Anolis sagrei: one gene and its partner. The protein of the gene in region 1 purifies or fractionates together with the protein of each later gene. This does not show direct contact. Links are inferred from orthologs where the notes say so. Each region holds a gene or a part of one and is shown on either strand. Other genes may lie near its edges. The genes, in order: IPO4 and ASF1A.

Region 1 (15,165 bases):
TTTCACTGTATGCCTCTGCCCTAACCAGTGGCTTCAGCTGGAGACAAGACTAAGATCTCAGAATTTCCTTAGCACCAATCAACAGGAAGAACTTGGAATTTTCCTTTTAGGATTACACCTCCCAGAATCCACACTTAACATGATCACAGCCCGTAAAATAAAAACATTAACTTTTTCAAGCTCCAATGAAGAGCCTTGCATTTTTTTCTCCTTCCACACAACATAACAGCACAAACATATGTCATTTGGGGAAAAGTTCTGAAGCACACCAAAAGTTTTCTTAAATTATTGGGTGCAAAGTCTGTAGCACGCACTTACTCTGTTTCCTTCTGCAAAACGGTCAGCACAAGCTTCTTCAGCCTGCAAGAGACAAGAAGACATGTTTACGACAACTGGGTGGAAAACGAAAGAAAGGCCAAGAAAGAATCACAGTCAAGCTCTTCAAGCTCCCATTTTCTATATTTGCAGTTGTGTAGCATCTGTGACCTTTTGCCTGTTTGGGGACTACAACTCCCATCATTCTTCCCCAGCTGAAATGTTGGAGAGAATGATGAGGGTTGGAGTCCTACAAGATTAGAAAGGACACCGGTTCCCTCGCAGCCTCCTTCTTCAGCACTCACGTGTCCTGCTCAACTGCACTGAGTTTCTTCCAGTGTTTGGTTAGTCGCCTCCTCACCAGCACAGCAGCAAGTTGACGGATCTGAGGAAAAAGCAGAGGATGAGAAGCAGATATATGAGGGAGTCGGAGGGAGAGCCGCAGGGTCCCCACTGTATGTGTATGGCATGCCTAAGAAATAGTTGCAATTGGAAGTTGAGCACAGAATGGTATTGGAGGACTATGAATGCCAAGGGAAGGAATCACCATGTCTTCCAGAACAACTCTGTGGTAAACATCTGGTGTAAGATGACCATATAGAGCAGGCATGGGGCCAACTTGGGCCCTCCAGGTGTTTTGGACTTCAACTCCCACAATTCCTAATAGCCAGTAGGCTGTTAGGAATTGTGGGAGTTGAAGTCCAAAACACCTGGAGGGCCCAAGTTGGCCCAGGTCTGATATAGTCATACTAGGGATGTAGAAATTCACAGAAGGAACGTATTACTTAAATCTGCAAATAATCAAATCCACAAAATGTAAACTTTCAAATCTGGAGGGCCAACTATACAAACGCAGGAACCTCAGCTAAACACAACAAAATTTACATTATGGTCTTGAGTTGTGTACTGGCTACACAGGAAGGTTATAGCGAAGAATATGGGTGCATCTACACACATACAGTTTAACCCCAATTTAGCTTCAATTAATACAGTTCGACCCAATTTAACTCCCATGGCTCCATGCTATGGAATCTTGGGAGTTGTAGTTTGGTGAGGCCCCAGCACTCTTTGGCAGAGAAGGTGAAAGAGCTTGTAAAACTTCAGCACCCACGATTCCACAGCATTAAGCCATGACAGTCAAAGTGGTGCCAAACTATAAAGCCCTAAACCAGTGGTTCTCAACCTGTGGGTCCCCAGGTGTTTTGGCCTAAAACTCCCAGAAATCCCAGCCAGTTTACCAGCTGTTAGGCTTTCTGGGAGTTGAAGGCCAAAACATCTGGGGACCCACAGGTTGAGAACCACTGCCCTAAACGGTTCTGGCCCAACTTACCTGTCTGAACGCATCTTCCCTTATGAATCTGCTAGGACTTTAAGATCGTCTGGGGAGGCCCTGCTCTCGATCCCGCCTGTGTCACAAACACGTTTCGTGGGGACGAGAGACAGGGCCTTCTCAGTGGTGGCCCCTCGGCTATGGAACACCCTTCCTGGGGACATTAGATCGGCCCCCTCCCTCTTAACATTTCAGAACTTGGTTGTTTGAGCAAGTGTTTGAAAATGCAAGGTAAAAGACATAGGAATTGGAACGACTGGACAACGAGATGGGACAATGTTCTTTATTAAGAGACACAAATAGTAAATAATCTATGTTTTAATAGTCTTGTTATGGTTTTATATTATTTGTTAATGTTTTTAAATGTTTTATGGTGTTTTTGGGCATTGAATCGTTGCCACTGTAAACTGCCCTGAGACGCCTGAGGGCTGAGAAGGGCGGTATACAAATACAGTAAATAAATAAATATACTGCATTAATTCTACTGTGCAAATACAGCTTGTGAGAGGTTGGATTTTTTCGCTGGCATCCATCATTACCTGACTGGACATGCCCAAGGAAAAAATACCTTGGGCGTGCCATAAACACACAGTAGGGATCTTGTGACTGGCACCAACAATATCTTTTCAAAAATTCCAAATCAGCTTCAGTAGGTTGAAAATAAGGAGTTGGTTTCACTATGACTTACCTGTGGATCTTGAGAATTGGACATGACATGGCTGAGATGGGACAACGCCTGAGGTTGCTTTAGGGCCTCCTTCAGCTGGGCTGTGGCCTTAGGGCAAAACAGAAACCAAGATGAAAGGTCTGGCAGTCAAATCTATACAAATTCAGCTGGTATAGAAAGTCACTGGGAAGAGGGCTTAATGTGTTTTGTTCATCATTACTTGTTGTTACGTGCCTTCATGTCAAATTCAAGTTACAGTGATTCTATCCTAGTCTTTTCTTGGCAAGAGAAGCACTGATTTCCTCTAAAGCTGACATAAGAGTATGACTTGTCCAAGGTTGTCCAGTGGGTTTCCATGACTGAGTAGGGATTTGATTACTTGTCTGAGCCAGTTTTTAGATCAAAAGTACCCAAATCAAACAATACACACCTAGTGCTAGGAAAAGTTACTTTTTTGGATGACAAGTCCCCAAACCCCTGAGCCAGCACATGGCTAAACTCCCAAAATCCCTCTGAAAACACCATATTTCATCTAAACTAACGTGTACTTTTTTCACAACTATAATGCAGCTTTACCTTAGATTTGTATTTCACCCAATATAAATCTAAGGTGAGTTAGGAAGTTATTATTGAAGTATAAGTTTAAGAATCCTTTAACCACCATATGTCTAGAGTTAGAAAATAATAATAATAATAATAATAATAATAATAATAATTTTCTTACTCGCCTTTCCTTGTGGTTTGAGGCAGGTTACAGCATAATTCAAACTCATAAACATTATAAAAAAATCTATATACATATTAATATAAAAGATACATATTAAACGTATTTCTATAAAATACATATTAAAATACACAGAAGAGGTTAAACGCAAGACACGAGTTTAAAATTCGTGTTTAAATTCAGATTATATTTTTGGACTCAAAGTGCCCTGAATTCCTCAGAAAATATACGCCTACTACTTCATCACACTAGAGAATTAATCCACTTTATGAGTGATGGTCACTTGTTGGCCTGATAGGTGTCTTGTGTCCAAATCTGGTATCAATTCGTCCCGTGGTTTTTTAGTTGTTAATCCCACAAACGAATGTTACATTTTTATTTATATAGACTAGCCGTCCCCTGCCACACATTGCTGTGGCCCTGTCTGTGTAAATGTGTTTTGTGTGTGTATATATATATATTGTGTATATATGTGTATTGTGTATATGTGTATATATGTGTGTTTGTCTATATATGTGGTTTTGTGCATGCGTTATGTATTTTTGATTTTTTTTGTCTTTTAAAGTCTCTTCTGCTGTGTTTTTCTGAGTGATGGTCACTTGTTGGCCTGATAGGTGTCTTATGTCCAAATTTGGTGTCGATTCATCCAGTGGTTTTTAGTTATGTTAATCCCACAAACGAACATTACATTTTTATTTATATAGACTAGCCGTCACCTGCCGCATGTTGCTGTGGCCTTGTGTGTATATATGTGTGTGTATATATTTGTGTATATATGTGTGTTTGTCTATATATGTGGTTTTGTGCATGTGTTGTAATGTATTTTTGATTTTTTGTCTTTTAAAGTCTTTTCTGCTGTTTTTCAGTGTTTTTATGAGTGATGATCACTTGTTGGCCTGATAGGTATATTGTGTCCAAATTTGGTGTCAATTCGTCAAGTGGTTTTTGAGTTATGTTAATCCCACAAACGAACATTACATTTATATTAACTGCATATACTCGAGTATAAGCCTAGATTTTCAGCCCTTTTTTAGGCTGATAAAGCTCCCCTCGACTTATACTCGAGTCAAGGTTATTTATTGTTTTACTCTGTTATTATTATTATTCTCTATTTATTATTATTATTTTCATTTTACTTTATTATTATTATTACATTTATTATTTTATTTTATAATTGTTATCATTACATTTATTATTTTACTCTATTTATGATTGTTATTATTACATTTATTATTTTACTCTATTATTATTCGTAGTAGTAGTATTACATTTATAGGTTAACTTTATTATTTTATTACTATTACATATATTATTTTACTCTATTATTACTGGAAGGATACGTAAACACATGTACATTGAAGAAGGTTAGAATAATGGTTTAGTCAGAGTTGGACAGTTATCTTACAGTAAATATTAATAAACAGTGAATCTACTGATGCTTCAATTAATGTAATTTTATTGGTATCTATTTTTATTTTGAAACTGACCCGTTGCTGCTGCATTTCCCATCCTTGGCTTATACTCGAGTCATTAAGTTTTCCCAGTTTTTTTGGTGGTAAAATCAGGTGCCTCGGCTAATATTCGGGTCGGCTTATACTCGGTATATAGATTGTCTTGGTAATTTTATGTGTATGCTGTATAAGTACACCTGATGTTGTTTATTTTATTGTTTATGATTTGATTTGTTTGTTATGTTATGCTGGCATTGAATGTTTGCCTATCAGCTTGGGAGTGATCCTGGATTCATCGCTGAGCTTGGAACCCCAGGTCTCAGCGGTGGCCGGGAGAGCTTTTGCACAATTAAAACTTGTGCACCAGTTGTGCCCGTACCTTGGGAAGTCAGATCTGGCCACAGTGGTCCGTGCTCTTGTTACATCCCGAATAGATTACTGCAACACACTCTACGTGGGGTTGCCTTTGAAGACTGTTCGGAAACTTCAATTAGTCCAGCGGGCGGCAGCCAGATTAGTCACCGGAGCGTCATACAGGGAGCATACCACCCCTCTGTTATGTCAGCTCCACTGGCTGCCAATCCAGTTCCGAGTACAATTCAAAGTGCTGGTTTTGACCTACAAAACCCTATACGGCTCCGGCCCAGCGTACCTGTCCGAACGCATCTCCCTCTACGTCCCACCTCGGAGTTTGAGATCTTCTGAGGAGGCCCTGCTCTTGATCCCACCTCTATCACAAGTGAGATTAGTGGGGACGAGGAGCAGGGCCTTCTCGGTGGTGGCCCCTCACCTGTGGAATTCACTCCCCGGGGAAATTAGATCATCGACATCCCTCCTCTCTTTCAAAAGGAAATTAAAAACATGGTTATGGGACCAGGCTTTCGGGCAATCTGGCGGTTAGATAAGGACAATGATGACCAGAACCGTGAGTACTTGACATTGTGAAATGAATTTACGGACTATGAGATGGCAAACGCTGAGCATTAGATTGTTTTTATTGATTTTAATATATGGACTAACTGTCTTAATTGTTACAATTGCTGTTTACATGTTTTATCCATTGTTATGTTTATGTTGGCATCGAATTGTGCCTTTTGTAAGCCGCCCTGAGTCCCCCCTGGGGGGTTGAGAAGGGCGGGGTAGAAATGCGTGAAATAAAATAAATAAATATTTTCTGTTGTAAACCGCCCTGAGTCCCCTCGGGGAGATAGGGCGGTAAAGAAATGAAGTTTATTATTATTATTATTTTGTATGTATTGATTACGTTACTTGGAAACCGCTCTGTCCCCTTGGGGAGATAGAGCGGTATATAAATAAAGTTTTGTTGTCGTACTCAGAGCAGACCTGGGCCAACTTGGGCCCTCCAGGTGTTTTGGACTTCAACTCCCACCATTCCTAACAGCCGAACTTGGGCCCGCCAGGTGTTTTGGACTTCAACTGCCACCATTCCTAACAGCCTTTCGGCTGTTAGGAATGGTGGGAGTTGAAGTCCAAAACACCTGGAGGGCCCAAGTTGGCCCAGGCCTGACTCAAGAGAGTTAGGAGTCCGAAAGTAACTTCTGTGGGTCCCAAAAGTAACTTTCCCAAGCCCTGCCCCAAGCCATGCCTGTCCCAGCCTAGCCTCTGCTTCAGTCCCCCACATGGGTGGATATTGTCATGCCCCAAACCCTCTCCCTTCCAATCCCCATGCGATTATTATGATTATTATGATTATTATTAGTATTCTGCTGCTCTACCTGTTGGATGATGGCATTGTCAGGCTGCAGCAAGGCTGACAGGATCCTCTCCAGGTCCCCCGTGGCCATGGCGCAGAGGGAGGGAGGGAGGGGGAAGGCAGGGGGAGGCCCCCCCTCCACCAAGGCAGGAGGAGGGGGGAGGAGGAGGGGGAGGCGCCCCCAAAGCCAGCTGCGAGCGAAGGGCGCCAAGAGGAGCTGCTGGCAGCGGCAACAGTGCCTTGCCAGCACATGTGGAGACGACGAGTCGCCACTTCCGGCCGGAGAGAGCGGCCCCAGGGCGCCCACTTCCGGCCTTTCTCGCGCCTCCCCCAAACAAGCCGCCTTTCGGCCTTCGCTCTGGTTTCCATGGCGACCAGGATTTTTGCGTGGACTAGGCCGCGGCCTACACACAGAGGCGCTTGGGCTACAACTCCCAGCGGCCCTGTTAGGGCGAGGTGATGGGAGTTGTAGTGTTCCACACACACCCCTCAACTGATTAAAAAAAAGAAAGGCCTCTACACTGCCATATGATCTCTTCAGACCACAGTATCTGCTTTGAACTGGATTGTATGAGTCCACACTGCCATATAATCCAGTTCAAAGCACAATTCAAAGTGCTGGCTTTAGCCTTTAAACTAGGACATTAAGATCGTCTGGGGAGGCCCTGCTCTCGATCCCGCCTGCGTCACAGGCGCGTTTGGCGGGGACGAGGGACAGGGCCTTCTCGGTGGTGGCCCTTTGGCTGTGGAATGCCTTACCTGTAGACATCAGACAGGCCCCTTCGCTGTTGACATTCCGGAGGAAGGTTAAGACTTGGCTTTACGAACAAGCGTTTGGCTAAACAGTGCAACTGAACACAGGAAGATGGTAAAATCGAACATAGGAAAATGATACAAGGATTATGAGAACGGATTCTGATTTGCTATTGAGGCGTTATGATATGATAATGATTGATTCTTGATTTTGTCTGTTATGTATAATGTGTTTTAATTGTTTATGATACTGTTGTGATAACCTGTATTATGTAAACCACATTGAGTCGCCTAATCAGGCTGAAAAATGCGGTATAGAAATAAAGCAAATAAATAAATAAATAACGGTTCTGGACTGACCTACCTGTCCAAACGCGTCTCCTCCTATGAACCAGTTAGGACATTAAGATAGTCCAGGGAGGTCCTGCTCTCGATCCCGCCGGCTTCACAAGTACGCCTGGCGGGGACGAGAGACAGGGCCTTCTCAGTGGTGGCCCCTTGGCTGTGGAACGCCCTTCCTGCAGATATTAGATCGACCCCCTCCTTGCTGGCATTCCGGAGGAAAGTAAAGACCTGGCTGTTTGAACAGGCATTCGACTAAGCAGTGTGATTGATTGACTGACTATCGGAACACGGAATATCGGATAACGAGCTTGGATTCTGATTTCATTGATGAGACCTGATGGATTTGTTATATTGATGTAGTGATGTATTGATACTGATGTTTAATGATTTGTAATGCTATTGCTTTTAAATGCTTAATGATTTTGTATTGTGTATACCTAAACTGTTGTAAACTGCTCTGAGTCACCTAATAAAGTAAATAAATAAATAAATAAAGCAGATGATCTGGATTTTATATGGCAGTGCAGAAGAGAATGATAGCCGTAGTCTTACATACCTGGCTGTAGTCTAACATACCTTATTTTGTGCTCATAAGAGCCTATTATTATTATTATTATTATTATTAACTGCTTAGAGGTTAATTATTATTCCATATATTATTATTATTATTATTATTATTATTAACTGCTTAGAGGTTCATTATTATTCCATATATTATTATTATTATTATTATTATAAACTGCTTAGAGGTTCATTATTATTACATTTATTATTATTATTATTATTATTATTATAAACTGCTTAGAGGTTCATTATTATTCCATATATTATTATTATTATTATTATTATTATTATTATTATTATTATAAACTGCTTAGAGGTTCATTATTATTACATTTATTATTATTATTATTATTATTATTATTAACTGCTTAGAGGTTCATTATTATTCCATATATTATTATTATTATTATTAGAAATAACAGTATATTTAATAATTGTTGTTGTTGTTCAGTCGTTTCCGACTCTTCCGACTCTTCCGACTTCATGGACCAGCCCACATCAGAACTCCCTGTCGGCCGTGGCCACCCCCAGGGGCTCCTTCAAGGTCAAACCAGTCACTTCAAGGATACCATCCATCCATCTTGCCCTTGGTCAGCCCCTCTTCCTTTTTCCTTCCATTTTCCCCAGCATCATTGTCTTCTCTAAGCTTTATTAGAAATAACAGTATATTTAATAATTGTTGTTGTTGTTCATTAGTTCAGTCGTTTCCGACTCTTCGTGACTTCATGGACCAGCCCACGTCAGAACTCCCTGTCAGCTGTGGTCACCCCCAGCTCCTTCAAGGTCAAGCCAGTCACTTCAAGGATCCCATCCATCCATCTTGCCCTTGGTCAACCCCTCTTCCTTTTTCCTTCCATTTTCCCCAGCATCATTGTCTTCTCTAAGCTTTCCTTTCTTCTCATGATGTGGCCAAAGGACACATACAGCTCTGGCCCAGCGTACCTGCCCGAACGTATCTCCTTCTACGTCCCACCTAGGAATTTAAGATCTTCTAGAGGGTCCCTGCTCTCAGCCTCGCCCTTGTCACAAACGAGGTTGGCAGGGACGAGGGACAGGACCTTCTCCGTGGTGCCCCCCCCCCCCCCCCCGCCTGTGGAATTCACTCCCCGTAGAAATTAGATCATCGTCATCCCTCCTCTCTTTCAGAAGGACATTAAAAACATGGATATGGGGCCAGGCATTTGGATAATCTGGCAGACTGATAATGGACAATGACGACTAAAGCTTTGGAAACGGAGTATGATAAGCGGAATGAATTTATTAATTACGGACTTGGCAAAACGATGGCCACCAGGCTGGCATTTTATTGTATTTTTATTGTATTAATGTAATGTTTTAACTGTTATAATTTATTGTTACTATGTATTTTACTGTGTGAATTGTAGGCATCAATGTATGCCGGTTGGAAGCCGTCCTGAGTCCCCCTTCGGGGGTTGAGAAGGGCGGGGTAGAAATACCCGAAATAAATAAATAAATAAATAAATTCATCTTTGCCTCTAATATCCTTCTCTCCAATGAGCAGTCGGGCTTTATTTCCTGGTTGGATCTTCTCGCTATCCAAGGCACTCTCAGAACTTTCCTCCAGCACCAAAGTTCAAAAGCATCTCTCTTCCTTCGCTCAGCCTTCCTTTTGGTCCAGCTCTCACATCCATAGGTGACTACAGGGAATACCATGGCTTTGACTATGCGGATCTTTGTTGCCAGTGTGATGTCTCTACTCTTCACTATTTTATCGAGATTGAACATTGCTCTCCTCCCAAGAAGTAAACGTCTTCTGATTTCCTGGCTGCAGTCTGCGTCTGCAGTAATCTTTGCACCTGGAAATACAAAGTCTGTCACTGCCTCCATGTTTTCTCCCTCTATTTCCCAGTTGTCAATATTTAATAATAGTGATTCTCTAACCCTAGGAACCCCCGGTGGCGCAGTGGGTTAAAGGGCTGAGCTGTTGAGCTTGTTGACCAAAAGGTCGCAGGTTCGATTCCAAGGAGCGGCGTGCGCTTCCGCTGTCAGCCCTAGCTTCTACCAACCTAGCAGTTCAAAAACATGCAAATGTGAGTAGATCAATAGGTACCGCTCCGGCGGGAAGGTAAGGGCACTCCATGCAGTCATGCCGGCCACATGACCCTGGAGGTGTCTATGGACAACACTGGCTCTTCGGCTTAGAAATGGAGATGAGCACCAACCCCCAGAGTCAGACATGACTGGACTTAATGTCAGGGGACTAGCTTGATCTCACCTACCTAAGCCTTATGTTGTGCTCATAGGAGTCCATTCACTATTATTATTATTATTATTATTATTATTATTATTATTATTAGAAACTGTTTAGAGCAGGGGTCCGCAAACTTTTTAAACAGAGGGCCAGGTCACAGTCCCTCAAACTGTTGGAGGGCCAGATTGTAATTTGATAAAAAACATGAATGAATTCCTATGCACACTGCACATATTTGTAGTGCAAAAAACACTTAAAACAATGCAATAATTAAAATGAAGAACAATTTTAACAAATATAAACTTATTAGGATTTCATTGAGAAGTGTGGGCCTGCTTTTAGCTGATGAGATAGGATTGTTGTTGTTGTGTGCTTTCAAGTCGTTACAGACTTGGGTTGACCTTGAGTGAGGGCCGGGTAAATGACCTTGGAGGGCCGCATCTGGCCCCTGGGCCTTAGTTTGAGGATCCCTGGTTTAGAGGTTCATTATATAAACTCTTATTTCAAATAATCATAATCATAATCATTGAATCATCAAGTTGGAAGAGACCATGTGGGCCATCCAGTCCAACCCCCTGCCAAGAAGCACCAGGAGGGCCAAAGTTTGCCCAGGCCTGACTCAGAGAGTTAGGAGTACGAAAGTAACTTCTGTGTGCATTCAAAGCACCCTCGACAGATGAACTTCCAAGCCTTCGTTCTAGCTCATGGGAGTCCATTATTATTTATTATTAGTATTATAAACTGCTTAGAGGTTCATTATTATTCCATATATTATTATTATTTGAAACACCACAAGATGAGTCCACAGCAGACACTCTGCTGGCTGTTGTGTTGGATCACACATCGGACACTTTCCAAATGTCTAGGACTGTGTGATGTACCGGCGAATAATGCATGCAGATCCCAATAAGGTGGCCTTCTGCAGCTGGCAGATGGGAATCTTGTCAGCGCCGATTGTATTTAAGTGCAGGCCAAGGTCTTTAGGCACTGCACCCAGTGTGCTGATCACCACTGGGACCACCTTGACTGGCTTGTGCCAGAGTCTTTGCAGTTCGATCTTTAAATCCTCGTATCGTGTCATCTTTTCCAGTTGTTTCTCTTCAATCCTACTGTCACCTGGGATTGCAACATCGACAATCCATACTTTGTTTTTTAACACGATCGTGAGGTCAGGAGTCTTGTGCTCCAAAACTCTATCTGTCTGAATCCGGAAGTCCCAGAGTAGCTTGCCGTGTTCATTTTCTGTAGCTTTTTCTGGCTTGTGATCTCACCAGTTCCTTGTTGCAAGAAGATGGTATTTGTTGCACAAGTTCCAATTAATCACCTGAACAATGGTGTTGTGCCTCTGCTTGTAGTCTGTCTGCGCGATCTTTTTGCAGCAGCTGAGGATGTGTTTCATCTGCTTTCTTGCAGAGTCTACATTTGGGATCTGTTATTATTATTATTATCATTATTATTATTATTAGAAACTGCTTAGAGATTCATTACATATACTCTTATTTGAAATAGTAATAATAATAATGATAACCATAGAGTCATCAAGTTGAAAGAGACCTTGTGGGCCATCCAGTCAGGCTCCTGCCAAGAAGCAGGAAAATTGCATTCAAAGCACTCTCGACAGATGAACCTCCAAGCCTTCGTTTTAACTCATGGGAGTCCATTATTATTATTATTATTATTGTTGTTGTTGTTGTTGGGTTGTTGTAGGTTTTTTTGGGCTATATGGCCATGTTCTAAAGGCATTTTCGCCTGACGTTTCGCCTGCCTCCATGGCAAGCATCCTCAGAGGTAGTGAGAATTATTATTATTATTATTATTAGAAACTGCTTAGAGGTTCATTATTATTTAATATACTGTCATCATTATTATTAGAAACTTCTTAAGAGGTTTTTTATTATTAAATACACTATTATTAATAATAAAAACCTTCTCTAAGTCTTCATTTTAGCTCATAGGGGCCCATTATTAAACAGATTATGATTAGAAACTGCTTAGAGGTTCATCATTATTAAATATACTATTATTATTATTATTATTATTAGAAATATAATATTTAACTTCTAAGCCTTTGTTTTTGCTCATAGGAGCTCATTATTATTTAATATATTATTACTATTATTATTATTATCATCATCCTCATTAGAAACTGCTTAGAGGCTCATTATTATTAAATATATTATTATTATTATCAATAATAATAATTTATTTAATAATAATAATTGACCTCTAAATCTCCAATTTGGCTCATAGGTGCTCATTATGGAGTTGAAGTCCAAAATACCTGGAGGGCCCAAGTTTGCCCAGGCCTGACCAGGTTCAAATCCCCATTCGACCATGAAAACCACACTCTGTGACCTAGTATAAGTCACACACTCTCAGCCTCCAAAAACTCCCACCTGAAGTCATTTCCATGGCTTGTTATGGGGAGGAAATGAGCCAAAGCTTACCGCAGACTAAAGAACAACCAGGGAGCAAAGTCCTTGGTTTATTGAACAGCTCCTGGAATGAAAGCAATAAAGTTTGTCATCTTGTCACATTGTTTACAGACGGTATAATGCAAACCATCCCATAGACCTGAACAAGGATAGGGGAGAGACCCAAAAGCCAGAGGATGTAGATTAAATCTATGGTGAACATGCCCAGAATTTACCAAGAAGAATCGCAATGGCTTACTATACATGTTTTTTGTTCCATTGTTGTTTTGCTGGATTTATACAATGAGCTTTTATAACACTACCTTTATTATGGTATTGTATTTTTTAAATTGCTAGAGTGAACTTTATATTTTCATATTTTTGTTTAAAAGTCACCTTGACTTTGAATGTTTTGATGGATTTTAACTGTGATTTTTTGTAGTGCTGTTTGTGTTTAATTCTGTTTTCATATTTGCATATTTAGATATTTTAAATTGTATACTAATGCTTTGATGTTAATCTGCATTGAGTCTCTTTTAGGAGAGATAAAGCAGGGTATCAATAATAATCATCATCATCACTGTAATCCCAGGTGACAGTAGAATTGACGAGAAGCAACCAGAAAAGCTTAGACAATATGAGGATTTAAAGATAGAACTGCAAAGACTGGCACAAGCCAGTCAAGGTTGTCCCAGTGGAGATTAACATACTGGGTGCAGTGCCTAAAGACCTTGGCCTGCACTTAAAAACAACCTACACTGACAAAATTACCACCTGTCAGTTTCAAAAGGCCACCCTACTCAGATACGCACACATTATTTACCGATACATCAGACAGACTTGGGAAATGTCCAACGTGTCATCAAATAGAAAAGCTAGCATAGTGCTCTTGTTTACTGTGTACTAATCTTGTTATGTTAAGGAGCCCTCGGTGGCGCAGTGGGTTAAAGCACTGAGCTGCTGAGCTTGTTGATCGAAAGGTCGCAGGTTCGATTCCGGGGAGTGGCGTGAGCTTCCGCTGTCAGCCCTAGCTTCTGCCAACCTAGAAGTTCGAAAACATGCAAATGTGAGTAGATCAATAGGTACCGCTCCGGCGGGAAGGTAACGGCGCTCCATGCAGTCATGCCGGCCACATGACCTTGGAGGTGTCTACGGACAACGCTGGCTCTTCGGCTTAGAAATTGAGATGAGCACCACACCCCAGAGTCAGACATGACTGGACTTAATGTCAGGGGACTACCTTTACCTTTACTAATCTTGTTATGTATCTAATGATAATAATAATCGCAATAATAATAATAGTAATAAATCACCTTGACTCAGGATCCCATTATCGAAAGGTGGGATATAAGCGGCCCAGTAAATTTGGAATCTTTGATCAAAATCTTTATGACTTCAAACACATTTCTTGAATAAGAAAACAAGAGGTTATTATCAAGACTTGGAATATCACTATCTGTTACCTTATGTTTGTGTGAATAGATACAGCATAGGTGTTGTTAGTGACAATTTGGAGAAGAATTAAGTTTGGGAACGTTTGCATAAAAGAGCTGGGATGACAAACGTAGCTGTTAAGATTCAGTATTGATAAAGAAAGCCTTTGAGGTTTTCCGCCACTTTAGATTTTCTTTTTATTAATAAAGTTTATTTTCAAGATCTGTAAAAAGAAACTGTTGGACCAGAAACGAAACGAAACCGTCAAATTAAAAAATAACCCAACGTCAATCCTTCCTAATATACATAACTTCTTATATATATATTTTCCATATATAACTATAGGCATTTTCTTCACCCAGGTTTGAGGGGAAAGAAAGGGCTTTCCCTCCACAACCCATCCTTTACAGCGCCAGGCACCATGGGATACGAAAGACATGAAAGGAGAGAGAAAATATATCCATAATTCAGGAGTGATGGGGCCATAATGACCTGATCCCACTGAAAAGTGAGCCTACAAGGCCCCTTTCTCCCTCCAGCATGCAAAGAAGAGGATCCTTAAAAACCGCAGAGAAAGATCCGCCCAGAAAATATATTTATATATGTATCTCCCACCCCAAAAAAATCCCCTCCAACAGCGGAGGGATCTTGATTTTAATCTCTGGGTGGGGAATCATGTCATTCTCCAGGTATTTTGGGGCTTCAGCTCCCAGCAGTCCTCACCCTTCATGAGGAATGATGGAAGTTGCATTCCAAAATGCAGGTTCACATTCCCTAACCTGGCACATGCCAGGTATGTTAGACTACAGCCATCATTCTACTACAGGCAGCCACAATGGCCATGAGCGATGGGAATTGTAGTCCAAACTATCAGGAAGAGTGATAGATTTTGAGGATGAGGGTGAAGGCCACCTTAGTCAGGAAATTCTCTTCCAGATCCAGATAGGACAGTGCCAGCTGGTGCGCCAATTATCATCTATGAAGCCGGCCCTGCCGGCTCTTCTATACTTTAGGTGGCATGAATTTAAAAAAACAAACAAACTTGATTGGTTGGGACCTGTCACCCAATTGCATAAGAGCTCTGAAGGAAGCAAACCATAGTGGACCAAAAAAAATCTTTTCACAGTTTCCAATTGGTCAGGAACAAGAGCCAAACTTGCCTTTTAGGAGGCAGACAGGTCTGATTAAGTTAGCTTGGCTTTTACTGATTGACTAGATTGCATCGCTGATAGAAAGAGAAAT
Region 2 (15,960 bases), on another chromosome or scaffold:
TGCCAATTAATCTCCAAAAGGTCACACTTCCAAAAAGCTTTGGAGATTCTGGTTTTCCAAAAGGTTATGATCTCAAAGATCATCTTTTTCCAAAAGCTTTCCATTAAATCAACATTATTATTTGGGGTATGATAGAACATCCAGAGATGCAGAGAAATGACTTTAAAATTACTAAAATTAGGAAAGCCCAATTGCTTTGAGCTCTTAGATGCTAGATTCATTTCGCTTTGTGTGCATGATTACATTGCTGTTGTGTGTAAGGTTGGGTACATCAAAACACCTAAAAAGATTGAATTTCACTGTCAAAAGTAAAGTTAACAACTTGTAATGATCATATATATTTAAAATATTGCAAAATAGCCTGAGATTATTTATTTTCAAAATGTTTTGTAATCTAGTATAATCAAAGAATATAGTACAATTGGTGGCATACTTTTTTGTTAAAATAGTAGAAGTCAAATGGGATAAATCAAAATACAATTTCCCTATCAGCTGTTGCTATTGATCAGTTTTAAGTGTTTCGTGAACACATGAAAAAAATGTAGCTAGTGTACATGTCAATACGTGGTGTAGAATAAATGCAAACGTCACCATACCTTTATTTTCTAATATGAAGGAAGAAATGACGCGATCCCATTCTTCGTTTTTTGCATCCAGCAATACCAAGACAAGATCAAACCTGCTAAGAAGAGGACTTCCAAGCGCTATGTTCACTGAGACAGATTCATTGGGATCATACTGGCCCTTGGGATTGGTTGCTGCCAAAATAGTGGTCCTTGTGTTCAGTTTGCACACTAAGCTAAAGAGAAAGATGATAGAAATTTAAATAATCAAACTATGAAAAATGTTTAAACTTCTTGACATCTTTCATTTTAGACTCCACCTGCCCCAAAAGCATTTCATAAAATTGTATGCAGAGTGAAATATATCCATGTAATAAATCACATATTGGGCAACAGATGAAATCAGGATCTGGGAAATGACATTTGGGCTGGAGGCCATGCTCACCATTTTAAATGTCAATTAGCCAGTATTTGAATGATTTAATTGGTACTGCATTTCTTTTATTCTAAGACGCACTTTCCCCCCATAAAAACATCTCTAAAATGGGGAGCGCCTTAAAATAGCAGGGGCTTTAAAAATATATAAATAAATCCTTTTTTTTTCTGTTGGTGGTACTGAAATTTGTGTGTGTGTTACAAATGATGGCATCTTAGAATTGAAAAAAATACGACAATACTCTGTTGTTGCTGTTCTTGTTGTTAGGCAAGTGAAATTTAAGTTTGGAAAGCCAGTCCTGAAATCTTAAATCTAGATTCTGTCAGGCACTACATATCCAGCTCCATCCTCATCTTGACTCAAGCTACTAAACTGCTATTAAATTCTACCCAAAAAATCGCTATTTTTAAAAAAAATTGAATAAAAAAATCCTGACTCTCTATTTAAACCCTGGCTCTTCTGCTGTGCCTTTGGTGAGTAGATGCACAACATGACACTACTGCTCCCCACAAAGCTTCTATCACTGGAGTACATGCCCCCCCCCCCAAATTGGAAAGTTTGGTTCCACAACCCTGTGTTTTTTATGAGCTCCCCCCTCTTGTAAATAACTTGCTCCTCTTCTTATCTCATTTGAGTTTTTTAACATTTTATCCTGCACATGTGGCCCGCCCACTGTCACCTTGATTGTGTTATTGTAATGTTATATTGTTATTGTATTCATATGTTTTTATGTAATTATGATGCTGTTGCTTGTTGTTTATGTTTTTGGTTTTATTTTGTTGCAATATGTTGTCTGGGCTTGCCTCATGTAAGCCGCCCCGAGTCACCATTGGGGAGATGGTGGCGGGGTATAAATAAAGATGATGATGATGATTATTATTATTATTATTACTATTATTATTTTCTGGGAGATATGCTGAAGCAGAACAAGATTTCATTTAGATTAAAGAGGCTGGAAGAAATTACCTTTACATATAGAGAGGATCTCAAGTGAACTCTTTACAGCAGTAATTCCCAACTTTTTAGTGCTAAGCCCAGTCTCTTACTATTAAAACACATAATCGGTTGGTAGGAATTATTGCAATTTTCCCCTTTGCCTTTAACTGTATCTTTCTTTGTAATTCTTTTCTTTTCTTTTTATTTTTTTGTTTTTATGTATTTGGAGGTGTATGTGGGTGTGAGATATACATACATACATAAGCAACATGTTTCTTAATACTTCCAACACTGATGTTCTTATGTAGTGATAAACATACTGCATTTAGGGTGAGACACAAATGCTCTTTCTCTCTCTGTATATTATGGTGCGCAGATGTTTTCACAGATGCTTACAGAGTTTCGGTATGCAAACAACTCTGGCTATAATAAGAGTATCTGGAACCAGTACACATTTTCCCTCTTCCTTAATGTATTTGACCTTGACTTAAGGTTTGGTTTCAGAGCTCCAGAAGAGTGTTTTGGTTGCGGCAGTCATAGCATGCCCCCCTTCATTGCAGACAGCTAAACAGCTGTGCGAAATCAGATTTAGGAATAATCTATTTCGAGGTGGTGCCATCTTAGCTCTTACCTCATGTATTGAGTGGGAACAAGTGTAGCACCAATAATCTTAGCTTTCATATCAGTAGTACATAACATGGGAAAAGTATTTTGTCTCTTAGCCAGAAACAACACAAATTCAAAAAAGAAATCGATGTTGACTCTGCTCTATAATACCGTAAGGATTTCTAAATATGGAAGCAAAACCTTGGAGCCCCAGAACAAATACTTGGAGTAGAAAAGGGGTCTAAAATTCCATCTTCAATACCAAACAACGGTTTCATTTCTCTCCTGACTAAAAATGGGTTTTCCCTCCCTTTTTGTTCAAATAGCATCCAATAATGGTCATTTTAAGGCTGTGTTTATGCTCAGTCTTACACTGGTACAAGAAACGGGATTACAGCATAACAATCAGAGCACACGACTTATAACAACTATACTGGTTTCATATAAAATTCTACAGCACACAGCACACTTTGTTCTATTTCTTGAGACCAACCAAGAACGGGCAACTTGGAAGTTCCTGAACAGGTTCAGAAGTGGAGTGGGCAGATCAAAAGACAACTTGGCAAAATGGCACTACCAAGAAGAATCCTCCACCTTGTGTGACTGTGGAGCAGAACACTGCATCTGTATGCTTACCCACTCTGCATCTGTATGCTTACCCACAATGCCTGTCTTATGGACAGATGAATAATTATTTAAAGCTACAGACAATGAGGTCACTGTTGCCCATTTTGGATCTAAAATTATTTAGTCACTGGTGCTTCCTGTATTTTATCAGTTTTATACTTATTTATGCAGTGCTTTTAACATGAAATAAATATATTTCTTGGGAGTGCAAACATATGCAAGTGTGAATATGTCCAATGGAGATATAACCCAGGATTTGAATTTAGGATTTATCTCTATTGTAGAAAAAAATGGCTGTTTGTTGGGAAAGTGGAGGGACAAATAGAGAACAAACTAGCAAGATTAGAAAACTGCTGGTACTCATCATAAAGTAACATCAAGAAAATCTTTCAAAAATCATGCAGTTTGACAACGATGGGACAAAGAAATATGTATGAACACCATAGGGAATAACATCACCATCAAGTTACTCCAAACTCTCTTTAAGGAAGGCTATTGTTTCTCAGGAATGAAAGGATATATTTTGTAGGCCAGGAGTAGGCAATTCCACCCCTCCAGATGTTTTTGGCCTACAAGGCAAGGGATTTCTGGGAGTTGTAGGCCAAAACACCTGAGAACCCACTGGTTGAGAACCACTGGTCTAGAAAGTCTTCACCTAGGAGCCCTTTCTTAGACCTAGAGAGAGGACACCCTGGGCTACACAGCATCAGGAGTAATGAATCACGTCATTAGCATTCACTTGTAGTGCCTTGACTCACAGTGCCTGCCTCTGGAGAAGGATCCCTCAAAACTAATAATTTGGACTTGCTCAACTCTATATTCATCGCAAGGCCCTTTTTCAAAACACCTTTTGTTTCGTTCTCAAATAGAGGCAGAAAGGGGAGGGAAGCATCTCTCTTCTGTGAATGCCTAAGCTGCCACTATGGACCACACTGGTTCACATGGAATATCAGTGAAAGTGTCAACAGACAAAAATGAAAAAAAGGGGGCACAGATGCTAATTCATAGCACATAAGGAAAAACAGACACTTACCCAAAGGGCACAGATGCTAATTTGTAGCACATAAGGAAAAACAGACACTTACCCAGCTTTTGCTACACTGATTGTTTGTTGCTCCATGGCCTCATGAATGCTGGTTCTGTCATGTTCTTTGATGCTGTTAAACTCGTCAATACAGCAAAGACCCCCATCAGCTAGAACCAACGCGCCAGCCTCCAAATTCCATTCTCCAGAGTCTTTCACAGCAGTGACCGTCAAACCTTCGGGGGGGGGGGGGGGGATGTTTTTTTTAATAATTTGAAAAGTTGTTTTTTTTACAGTGAGTGTTCAACTCTGGCTGAAGAGTAAGCTTTGAGTAATGCTTGTTAAGGTACCTTTCATACTATACAATTATTGCATTATAGTTACGGTGGTGTACAATGAAAACTCTGGAGACCATGGCTCAAATTTCCACTTGGCCATGAAACCAATTGGGTGATCTAGAACAAGTCACTCTCATAGGTCCTTTCCACACAGCTGAATAAAATCCCACATTATCTGCTTGGAACTGGAATATATGTCAGCGTGGACTCAGATATCTCAGTTCAAAGCAGATATTGTGGGATTTTCTGCCTTGGTATTCTGGGTTATATGCCTGTGTGGAAGGTGACGAAAACCTCTTCTGAACTAATCTTCCAAACAAAACCCTGTGATAGGTTCATTTTAAGACCACCTGAAGACAGAAATCACTTGAAAGCACACAAAACAACAACAGCAACTTCATTTCAGCTGCCAAGTTTCTACCCTATGAAGTCATGGGGAGCTCACTGGCTGATAAATTTAAATATCATTCCCTGAAAGGAAAAATCCCAGGATTTCGCAAGAGGGAACCGCAGTAGTCAAAGTGGTATGATAGTGCTTAGCACAGCGGGTTAAACCGCTAAGCTGCAGAAAATCCTGCCGCTCGAAAGGTTGGCAGTTCAAGCCTGGGTTGGGATGAGTGCCTGATGTCAGCCCCTGCTTCTGCTCACCTAACAGATCAGAAACAGAAATGTGAATAGATAAATAGATACCACTTTAAAGCCGGAAGGTAATAAAAGGGGTCCATAAGGACATGCCGACGATTCAATTGGGACGATACCTATAGACGTCAAAAGCTCTTTGGCGTGGAAGATGGAGTGACAACACCCCCCCCCCCCCCCCCCCCCGTGGCCAGAGTTGAGCACAGCCTCCAGATGCTGGAAGCAAAAAAAAAAAAAAAGATGAGAAAGCCTTTTCCTCTGTTTAAGTGTTGTCTGTCCTTGTTAACTGTATAACGGCATTGAATATTTGCAGTATATGTGTTCTATAATCTGCCCTGAGTACCCTCAGGGAAATAGAGAGGAATATAAATAAAGATGATGATAATGATGATGATGATTATTATTATTTGAAACATAACAAGATGAGTCCACAGCAGACAAGATCACTCTGCTGACTGTTGTATTGGATCACACGTCAGATTCCCAAGTGTCTAGTATTGGCAAATAATGCCTGCTGATCCCAGTAGGGTAGCCTTTTACAGCTGGTAATTTTGTCAGTGCCAATTGTGTTTAAGTGCAGGCCAAGGTCTTTAGGCACTGCTCCAGTGTGCTGATCACCACTGGGACCATCTTTACTGGCTTCTTGTTTTTGTTTTTGTTGTTATTATTATTAGTTGCTTAGTGTAAAAGATCTTATGGTCTTAGAACTCATGAATATGACAGAGTTACTGAATATAGGTGAACAGAAACAAGAAACTCCTGGCAATGATCCAGTTACAGAATGAGGGAGTTGTAGTCCAATGTACTAGGAAGACTACGTTGCGAACGTTTCCTCTAGATAAGGGTGCAATTGGGCAGCCTGAAAGATGGCTGCGGGCCACTGGCACAATGGAGGGATAAAAACAATTTGTGGTGTGGCCCTTCAGGCATGGGGATCCCCGGGTCTACTGCTTGGGGATCCAACAGTGCACCAAACCGTATAAAATTCTTCAAGGAATGCCTGATTCATAGCTCTGAGCCATGGCACTTAGTGGTGCCACACTGCATTGATTCTATAGTGTTGGTGCACCCTCTCCAAACTGCAATATGCTGAAAATGAAACTGATTTGCAGCTACTGTTTTCCCTTTTATGGACATAACTGACATTTTTGCCCTTAGCAACCAACCAATGTTGGTTATCCACGAGCCTGTTTATGTATGTAATGCAGGGTCACAATTGATTAAAAATAATCCGTCAGCAGTGACTTGAGAAACTTCAAGTCGCATATAGTGTGAGAATTGGCCATCTGCAAGGACGTTGCCCAGGGGATGCCCAGATGTTTTGATGTTTTTACCATCCTTGTGGGAGGCTTCTCTTATGTCCCCGCATGAGAAGCTGAAGCAGACAGAAGGAGCTCATACACGCTCTCCCCAGATTTGGACCTCCGACTTGTCGGTCTTCAGTCCTGCCGGCACAAGGGTTTAACCCACTGATAAAATATCATGCTGAGACTGAATTGAAATGTATTTATATGAGTTTGGATCCTTGCAGTATTAGATAACCAATTCTGTTTCCTTATCCATCCCTCTCCCTCCACACACATTTCAGCAGACTGCTTGTCCTTGAAATCATAAATGTCATTTGAAAGGGAGCTGCAGCGGGTTAAACTGCTGAGCTGAAGAACTTGCTGACAGAAAGGTTGGCGTTTCAAATCTGGGGAGCGGGCTGAGCTCCCATTGTTAGCCCCAGCTTCTGCCAATAGCAGTTTGAAACATGCAAATGTGAGTAGATCAATAGGTCCCACTTATGTGGGAAGGTAATGGTGTTGCATGCAATCATGCTGGCCACATGATCTAGGAGGTGTCTACGGACAACGCCAGCTCTTCGGCTCAGAAATTACCATTATCTTTGCATTAAAGCCTTGAATGCACTGGTTCTCAACCCAGCCAGTTTACCAGCTGTTGAGATGAGAACCGGAGGCTTGCAAGGTGAACCACTGCTTTAGTGATTCACCCACGGGCTGCCAACAGAACAACAGAACTGGAGTGTACTTCCCCCACACAACCAAGACAATACCACGATCAAATAACCAAGAACACTGAGTGCCATGTCCCACGACTCAGATAATGAATAGCAAATGAGTAATAAATACTCCATAAGCCACACAAGTGAATAATCAGACGCTACTTCACAATACAGTCATAATTCACATGCTGAACAAGCACTGACTAGGAAACATAGAGATAAATTGTCCAGAAAGTCAAATCATTATAAGCCAGCCTCATATTCATCAGGAAATAGCAGTGTAGGACAGGTGACTAAAATGATCAAAGTTCTGGAGAACAAGCCCTATGAGGAGCAGCTTAAAGAGCTGGGCATGTTTAGCTTGCAGAAGAGAAGGCTGAGAGGAGACATGAAGGCCATGTATAAATATGTGAGGAGAAGTCATAGGGAGGAGGGAGCAAGTTTGTTTTCTGCTGCCCTGGAGACTGGGATGCGGAACAATGGCTTCAAACTACAGGAAAGTAGATTCCATCTTAACATGAAGAAGAACTTCCTGACTGTGAGAGCTGTTCAGCAGTGGAACTCTCTGGCCCTGAATGTGGTGGAGGCTCCTTCTTTGGAGGCTTTTAAACAGAGGTTGGATGGCCATCTGTCAGGGGTGCTTTAAATGTGATTTTCCTGTTTCTTGGCAGGGGGTTGGACTGGGTGGTCTCTAGGATTGTAGGCATGGGCAAACTTTGGCCTTCCTCCAGGTGTTTTGGACTTCAACTCCCTACCAGCTGTTAGGAATTGTGGGAGTTGAAGTCCAAAACACCTGGAGGAAGGCCAAAGTTTGCCCATGCCTGGTGTAGGCTGGAGGCTCTTCCACATAACTTCAGAATATGGAGGCAGAAATTCCCACATTATCTGAGTGTGGACTTAGAATCATAAAATCCTAGAGTTGGAAGAGACCTCGTGGGCCATCCAGTCCAACTCCATTCTTCCAAGAAGCAGGAAAGTTGCATTCAAAGTAACCCCGCGAGATGGCCATCCAGCCTCTGTTCAAAAGCTTCCAAAGAAGGAGCCTCCACCACACTCCGGGGCAGAGAGTTCCACCGCTGAACAGTTCTCACAGTCAGGAAGTTCTTCCTAACGTTCAGATGGAATCTCCTTTCTTGTAGTTCTGAGCAAATATTGTGGGATTTCCGAGATATAGGGCGGCGTGGAAGGGCCCTGGCTGCAGTCTGGATGGCGTGGGATGTTGGGCACTGAACCCGGGAAGCCTTGGTCAAGAGGAGGCAGCTCCCTTGTCTCCCTCGGCTGCTTCTCCGGCAGGTGGAGCGCCAGGCGATGCTTGGCTCTGCTTCCAAGCCGGGCGCCCTTCTTGCTGGGCCCGGGAAGGAGCGGCCTCGCGGCGGGAGCAGCCAATCCGCGCCTCCGCAAGCCCGTTTCCACGCGCGGAGTGGGCCCGCCCGGGGAAGGAAGAGCGGCGCAAAGAGGCGAGCGAGCGAGCGAGCGAGGGAAAAAGCGAGAGAGAGGAAAGAGCTCCCTGCGAGGGAACCAACTGGGGGAGCGTGGCTTGGCAAGGGAAGGAGACAAAGCGGATTAGGAGCGGGCTCACTCCCTGGGAAAGTTTCCCCAACTCCTGGCTGGCTGGCTGGCTGGCTGGGGCCCCGGGGCCCTCTTTGGAGGAGGAGGAGGAGGAGGAGGGGCCATGGCCAAGGTGCAAGTGAACAACGTGGTGGTGCTGGACAACCCCTCGCCCTTCTACAACCCCTTCCAGTTCGAGATCACCTTCGAGTGCATCGAGGACCTCTCCGAAGGTGAAGGGCTGCAAAGGGAGAGAGAGGAGGGAGAGAAGGGAGAAAGAAAGGCACAAAGACAGCACTCAAGTTGGGAGGCACTTGTTGGGCCAAGGCTGGGAGCAGCCATGTTGGGCAGCCCTAGGGCGGGGAAGCTCATTGCACACACAGGAACACGCCTATAGACTTCTACACACACACTGAAGTTATACACATAAACAGTTGTACAGACACTTATAGAGAGGCATGCTCACACAATTGCACAGAGAAACACTTATGCAGAGACAAACACTAGAACACAGACACAGGCAAACACTTGTACACAAACATATTTATGGAGACATACAGTAACACCTTTGCACACACAAACACTGCTGGGAGCAACCATGTTGGGTAGCCTTAGAGTGGGATTGCAGGGGTCTAGGCTCTTTGCACACACAGGCACACGCTTATAGACTTCTATATATATACACACACTGAAGTTATACACATAAACAGTTACACAGACACTTATAGAGAGGCATACCCACACATTCACACACCGAAACACTTATGCAAAGACAAACACTGACACAAACACTACGACACACACACTTATACACATGCAAACACACTTGTACACAAACATAGCAATAGAGACACACAATAACACATTTGCTTATGCAGAGACAAACACTGACACAAACAAGAAAACAGTAGAACACAAGCTCACTTAATAGACATGCAAACACACTTGTACACAAACACACTTTTTTTGGCACACAGTAACACACAGAGACAAACACTGACACAAACACAGGCTTACATGCAAACACTAGAACACTGACACACTTATAGACATGCAAACACAGTTATACACAAACACAGTTATGGAGACACACAATAACACATTTACACACAAACACTTACGCAGAGACAAACACTGACACAAACAAGCAAACAGTAGAACACAGGCACGCTTATAGGCATGCAAACATTCTTGTACACAAACATACACTGTGTTTTTGCATACATAAGCACTTACACAGAGACAAACACATGCTTACATGCAAACACTAGAACACAGACACACTTATAGACATGCAAACACTTGTACACAAACACACAGTTATAGAGACACATGATAACACATTTGGACACAGAAACACGTAGAGACAAACACTGAAACAACCACACATTTACACGCAAACAGTAGAACACAGAATTGTGCCGTTTGTAAACCGCCCTGGGTCACCTTCAGGTTGAGAAAGGCAGTATATAAACATGGTAAATAAATAAATAAACACAGACACACTTATAGACATGCAAACACGTACATAAACATACATTTGGTTATAGAGACACACAAGAATACATTTGCACACAGGAACACTTACGCAGACACAAACACTTGACACAAACACTAAAACACAGACACACTTATAGACGTGCAAACACACTTGTACACAAACATAGTTATGGAGGCACACAATAACACATTTGCACACAGAAACACTTATGCAGAGAAAACACTGACACAAGCACACATGCTTGCATGCAAACACTAGAACACAAATACACTTACAGACATGCAAACACACTTGTACACAAACACACTTAGTTATAGAGACACAAAAATACATTTGCACACAGAAACATGCAGAGACAAATACACAAGGCACAAATACAGATATATGCTTACACACAAACACGTTTATACATGGACGCACACTTGTACAGACACATGTTTATATATGCAAGCACACTTTTATACACACACACACACAATAGTTACACAGACATTTATGCGGACATGGTAACATATTTGCACACAGAAACATTTATGCAGAGAAATACTGACTAACAAACAGACCCAACTACACACAAACACACATACGCTTGCATGCAAACATACTTATATATGGACACACACTGTTAATACAGACACACATTTATATATGCAGTTACAAACAGTTACACAGACACATGTATACTTACACTAACACACATTTGCACAGAAACACTTATGCAGAGACACACTGACAGACATGCAGAGACAAATACACACACATTGACACATGCACTCTTACATACAATCACATGTATACATGGACACATACTCTTACACACACACACATTTATATATACAAACACAGTTACAAACACTTACACGGATACATTGACACACAAACATTTGCACACAGAAACACTTATGCAGAGAAACGCTGACACATACACAGACACATGCAAACACACAGAGACACACTTACACAGACACATTTAAGGTATACAAACACACTTATACAGAAACAAACACACTTATACAGACACTTACATTAACAAACATTTACATGCAAACACGTAGCAATAAGCACTGACACATATACAGATACAAATACACACACACAGACATCTAAACACTCACACATACACTTACATGCAGATACTAGCAGGCACATATACAGGCACACATACTGACACAAACTTAGATATGCAGACACAGACTTACGTGCAGACATGTGGACACAGACTTACTTGCAGACATGTGGACACACACATACAGAGACATGCTTATTCACAGGCACACATACTTCCATGGCTCAATGCTGTGGAAACTTGTGAGTTGTAGCCTGTGTAGATAAAGCTAAAGACCCTGTCAAACTGCAATTCCCACGATTCCATAGCAATCGACCATTGCAGTTAAAGTGGTACAAAAATGCATAAATTCACCAGTATGGACACAACCAATACCTGGTGCCACCACACCTGGCAGAATATTTATGGCTCATGCTAAAGTACAATTAGCAGAAGGCTCCATTTGATTTGACTGAAACCAATGGTAAGGTATTAGTAGGTAAATAATAACAATGTAGCTTCCCCCCAAAAATTAAGTGGTGCAGAAACATTTTTGGAAATAGTGATTTTCAAGATTTGTCTTTGGATAAAGATGTTTACAATCTCAAGCTCTTTTTTTCCTCTCTTGCTTAAACATTGCCATATTAGGGATTGGGAAAAGTGACACTAGAAGTCAATTCTGATACTTGTGGAGCTTCCAAGTACAATTTCATGTTGTTTTTTGTCTTCTAATGTAGATTTGGAATGGAAAATCATCTACGTGGGCTCAGCAGAAAGTGAGGAATACGACCAAGTTTTAGATTCCGTTTTGGTGGGCCCTGTACCTGCGGGAAGGCATATGTTTGTTTTTCAGGTAAGTTTTCTCTTATGCCTTACTGAATTATGTTTAGATGACATGACTATGCGACAGGTCACAAATTCTAATGTTAAATGTCCACAAAAACTTTAGACTTATCACATAACTGTAGTGGTTAGGAGATCTAAGCTTTAACTCATATGTGCAAGTCTGGATGCATCACTCTTTATGATAATAATAGTCAATGGTTTCTCTGCAGAGGAGAGAATGCGGCTGAGCATTTTCAGTGTTTCACCAATACCTGATAGGCAACGAGAAGAACAGGACAATCTTGGCCTCATCTCCACTGACCATTTAATGCAGTTCAAAACTGGCTTCAAACTGTGATGGCCAGACAACAAACTCCCACAAAATTACACCCAAGAAAGCTCTAGTTTGTGTGATAACCATCCAGGCCTCAGACAGGTTCCAGGATTCATCAGCACAGCAAAAACACTTCGTTTAATACTGGTTTGAAACTGCATTAAATGGTCAGTGTAGATTAGTGTCCTTGTTTTATACCCTTTTGTTTTATTTGGTGGTGTTTTATCTGATTGTTATGCTTTGCTATGTTTTATTATAATTGTATTTTTTTTTGTTTTTAATGGACTGTTTTGTTTTGATGGAGGCCCGTTCTTTGGAGGCTTTTAAACAGAGGCTGGGTGGCCATCTGTTGGGGGTGCTTTGAAGCCAATTTTCCTGCTTCTTGGCAGGGGGTTGGACTGGATGGCCCACGAGGTCTCTTCCAACTCTATGATTCTATGATGTTTTGTGGACATTTTGTCCCATGTGTAAGCCGCCCCGAGTCCCTTCCAGGAGATGGAGTCAGGGTACAAAAATGAAATTATTACTGTTATTATTATTGTATTGTTGAAGGCTTTCATGGCCAGAATCACTGGGTTGTTGTAGGGTTTTTGAGCTGTATGGCCATATTCTAAAAGCATTCTCTTCTGACCTCACAACCTCTGAGGATGCTTTCCATAGATGTAGGCGAAACGTCAGGAGAGAATGCTTCTAGAAAAATCTACAACAACTCATTATTATTATTATTATTATTATTATTATTATTATTAGCGCCTAAGCCCCAGAGTCCAAGCGAGGCAGTGCCCGCCAGGTATTCAGGTGTCCTAGTGGTGATAGAAGTTGCAGCTGAAGAATATCTGAACAGCCACAAGATTCCCGTCCATGCGCCTTCTTTTTCTAACGTTGAGTGAGTGGCAGAGATAGCCTTTCCAAACATGCATTTAATGTTGTCCAGCTACTTTGTTTGCTTATTTATTTATTATGTTGGCTTTAATAATTATGGCTTAACTCTTAATTGGATATCAATAGCATATTGGGGACCTGTTGTCAGAGATATTGAAAGTTTAGCTAGGCCACTTAAGTATTCTAATATTTTGTGCGTGTGTGTACACATAAGCTTTCAGGTGGCCCAACTTGGCTTCCAAGCCATTCACATCTTGAAAAACAAAGATATATCACTTTTCAAAGCACTCTTTAATTGATTCAGCCCCTCGATTTGGATTATGTTCAGAGCTCCATTTCCCTCCCCCACCTGCTCTTTTGTGAGGACTTTATTTAAAAACTAATTTAGATATGTTTTAAATTTTATCTAAATGCCTGAGCCCAGTGCCTCACAAGTTGCAAGACACAGAAATGCAACATTAGGTTAAATTATTCAAGAAGCAACTTTTATATGATGGATTTGGGGCATTCACATATGTTTTTTTACCATGCTAAGTGTCTTTATCAAGGAGATAGATTATGAATTGTTTATTTTAAAAGTGGAAAAAATGTTCTCAGTACTTTCCTAACTTTTATTTGTTTGATTTGGCTGCAGGCAGACGCTCCTAATCCAGCACTTATTCCTGATGCAGATGCCGTAGGAGTAACAGTTGTATTAATCACATGCACCTATAGAGGTCAAGAATTTATTAGAGTTGGCTACTATGTAAACAATGAGTACACGGAAACAGAGCTGAGAGAAAATCCTCCAGTAAAGCCAGACTTTTCTAAGGTAGGACATACATGAACGTACTTCAAATTTAATTCAAATAGAAGAGAAATGAAACCCACGAGCAAGCTAGTGGTTTCTTAAACAAAAAAAGTGACTTGTATTTGGAAGTCTGAAAGAATAAGAGTTCTAAATCTGAATTCATCTTGGGCAGTCATCAATAAGTATATCTTGCTCTCCCTTTTGGAAGCCATCAGTTACTGTGTCTTATTCCTATATATAGGGGATCCCAACCTGTGGTCCGTGGACCACCAGGCATTGTCCGTAGATGCCTCCTAGGTCATGTGGCCAGCATGATTGCATGGAGCGCTGTTACCTTCCCACAGAAGCGGTACCTATTGATCTACCCACATTTGCATGTTTTCAAACTACTAGATTGGCAAAAGCTGGAGCTAACAGCAAGAGCTCACCCCACTCCCTAGATTCGAATCGCCAACCTTTCAGTCAGCGAGTTCAGCAGCTCAGCGGTTTAGCCTGCTGCACCACCAGGGGGCCCTGACTTACCCATTTATTATACCAAAATCCATAATGTTGCCCCCCAAATCTGCCTTTATACATTCGTAATATTACCTTGAAGCCTGTTCATTTATAATTATACATACTTGAATTGGAAAAAAACCCCAAGTTTGTTCTAAGCTATATACCCATACAATCCTTTTTTGTCTTGTGTACCAATCTATTACTTTACACATCTTCATAAAATATTTTTAAAAAATATTACTTTACAGGTGCATCTAATATAAAATGTCATTAGCTATAGTGTAGTAGCACAGCCCCAGTGTGAGACTGGGAGTGGCTCCAGATTATATGAGATTAACATTGGAATGTATGAATAATAGCTACTGAGCCATGTATAGAGAAAATTTTTCTCTTGCAAAACGAACATAGCTATCCTCACAAATGAAATGTGCTATGTTTTGTTTTGTTTTTTAAAGTAGAATTTAAAGAAAATCAAGAGTGAAAGAATTGTTCTCTTTTCCTGCACCCTGGAGTTTTACTATAATATTTCAGCTGGCAAAACAAATATGTCCAGATCTCTTACAACAATTAGTCTCGCATTTAAGCTTACTTGTTCTGTTTGCTCCAGACAGTATCGGTTTGATTCCATTTGAAATAATGTGTGTTGGCATTTAGAGTAGTGGCACTGGTTTACAAAATTACACAAGTTGACAAAACAGAGCTCATTTTAAATTTTAAGCAAACATTAAACATTTAGTTTGCACAATAAAATGTGCATATAGCTGTCAGCATAACAATGAAACTTTATGGGAAATATACATGATTTATGATCCTTTGCTGAGGCAGTAAAGTCAGGTGAGGCCCCAGCAAGAGCTCCTCCATGGTTAGTTTTAACAGTTGAGTTACTACGAGTTCTTACAGTGGAACACCATAGTTTGTTTAGTTTTTGAGTATGAAGATCTGGGCCACAACTGCCAAGGACATTAAGTAGAAAATAGGATTCATGGTATGAGAAATTAATGGGCCCGAATGATGGTATGTTATATACATGGCAGGGGGTTGGACTAGGTGGCCCATTGGTCTCTTCCAACTCCATGATTCTATCACTCTATATATAGTAGAATGACAGTCAGCTTCTGTGAAGGGAGGATAATATGTTAGTAGCTATATGCCAGCATTAGCTGGAGCAGGTAGTACTTGAGCCTTCTTTGACACCCTATTTCTCTGCTTGATTAAGGGGAGCAAGCTACCTATTTAGAATTTACTTGTTTTTGATATTGAAACTATTGTAATATTTTGCCAGTATTATAAGGAGCCCTGGTGGTGCAATGGGTTAAACCGTTGTGCCGGCTGAACTGCTGACCTGAAAGTCGGCGGCTTGAAT

The links.
Region 2: the proteins of IPO4 (region 1) and ASF1A purify together in Homo sapiens (affinity purification with mass spectrometry; 4 studies listed by BioGRID and IntAct, counting the BioPlex papers as one, with this or other methods). This does not show direct contact. The link is inferred for Anolis sagrei from reciprocal best matches to the Homo sapiens genes IPO4 and ASF1A.

The regions. Positions count from the first base shown.
Region 1 is NC_090026.1:7,964,625-7,979,789, reverse strand, and holds the start of IPO4 (importin-4), read right to left. Parts: upstream 6,492-15,165; 5' UTR 6,293-6,491; coding exon 6,224-6,292; intron 2,421-6,223; coding exon 2,334-2,420; intron 701-2,333; coding exon 621-700; intron 361-620; coding exon 319-360; intron 1-318. UniProt on the Homo sapiens protein: Nuclear transport receptor that mediates nuclear import of proteins, such as histones, RPS3A, TNP2 and VDR. Serves as receptor for nuclear localization signals (NLS) in cargo substrates.
Region 2 is NC_090021.1:88,886,789-88,902,748, reverse strand, and holds the start of ASF1A (histone chaperone ASF1A), read left to right. Parts: upstream 1-8,540; 5' UTR 8,541-8,846; coding exon 8,847-8,955; intron 8,956-12,005; coding exon 12,006-12,121; intron 12,122-13,943; coding exon 13,944-14,120; intron 14,121-15,960. Other genes in the region: DNA helicase MCM9, read right to left, coding at 597-799, 4,254-4,428. UniProt on the Homo sapiens protein: Histone chaperone that facilitates histone deposition and histone exchange and removal during nucleosome assembly and disassembly.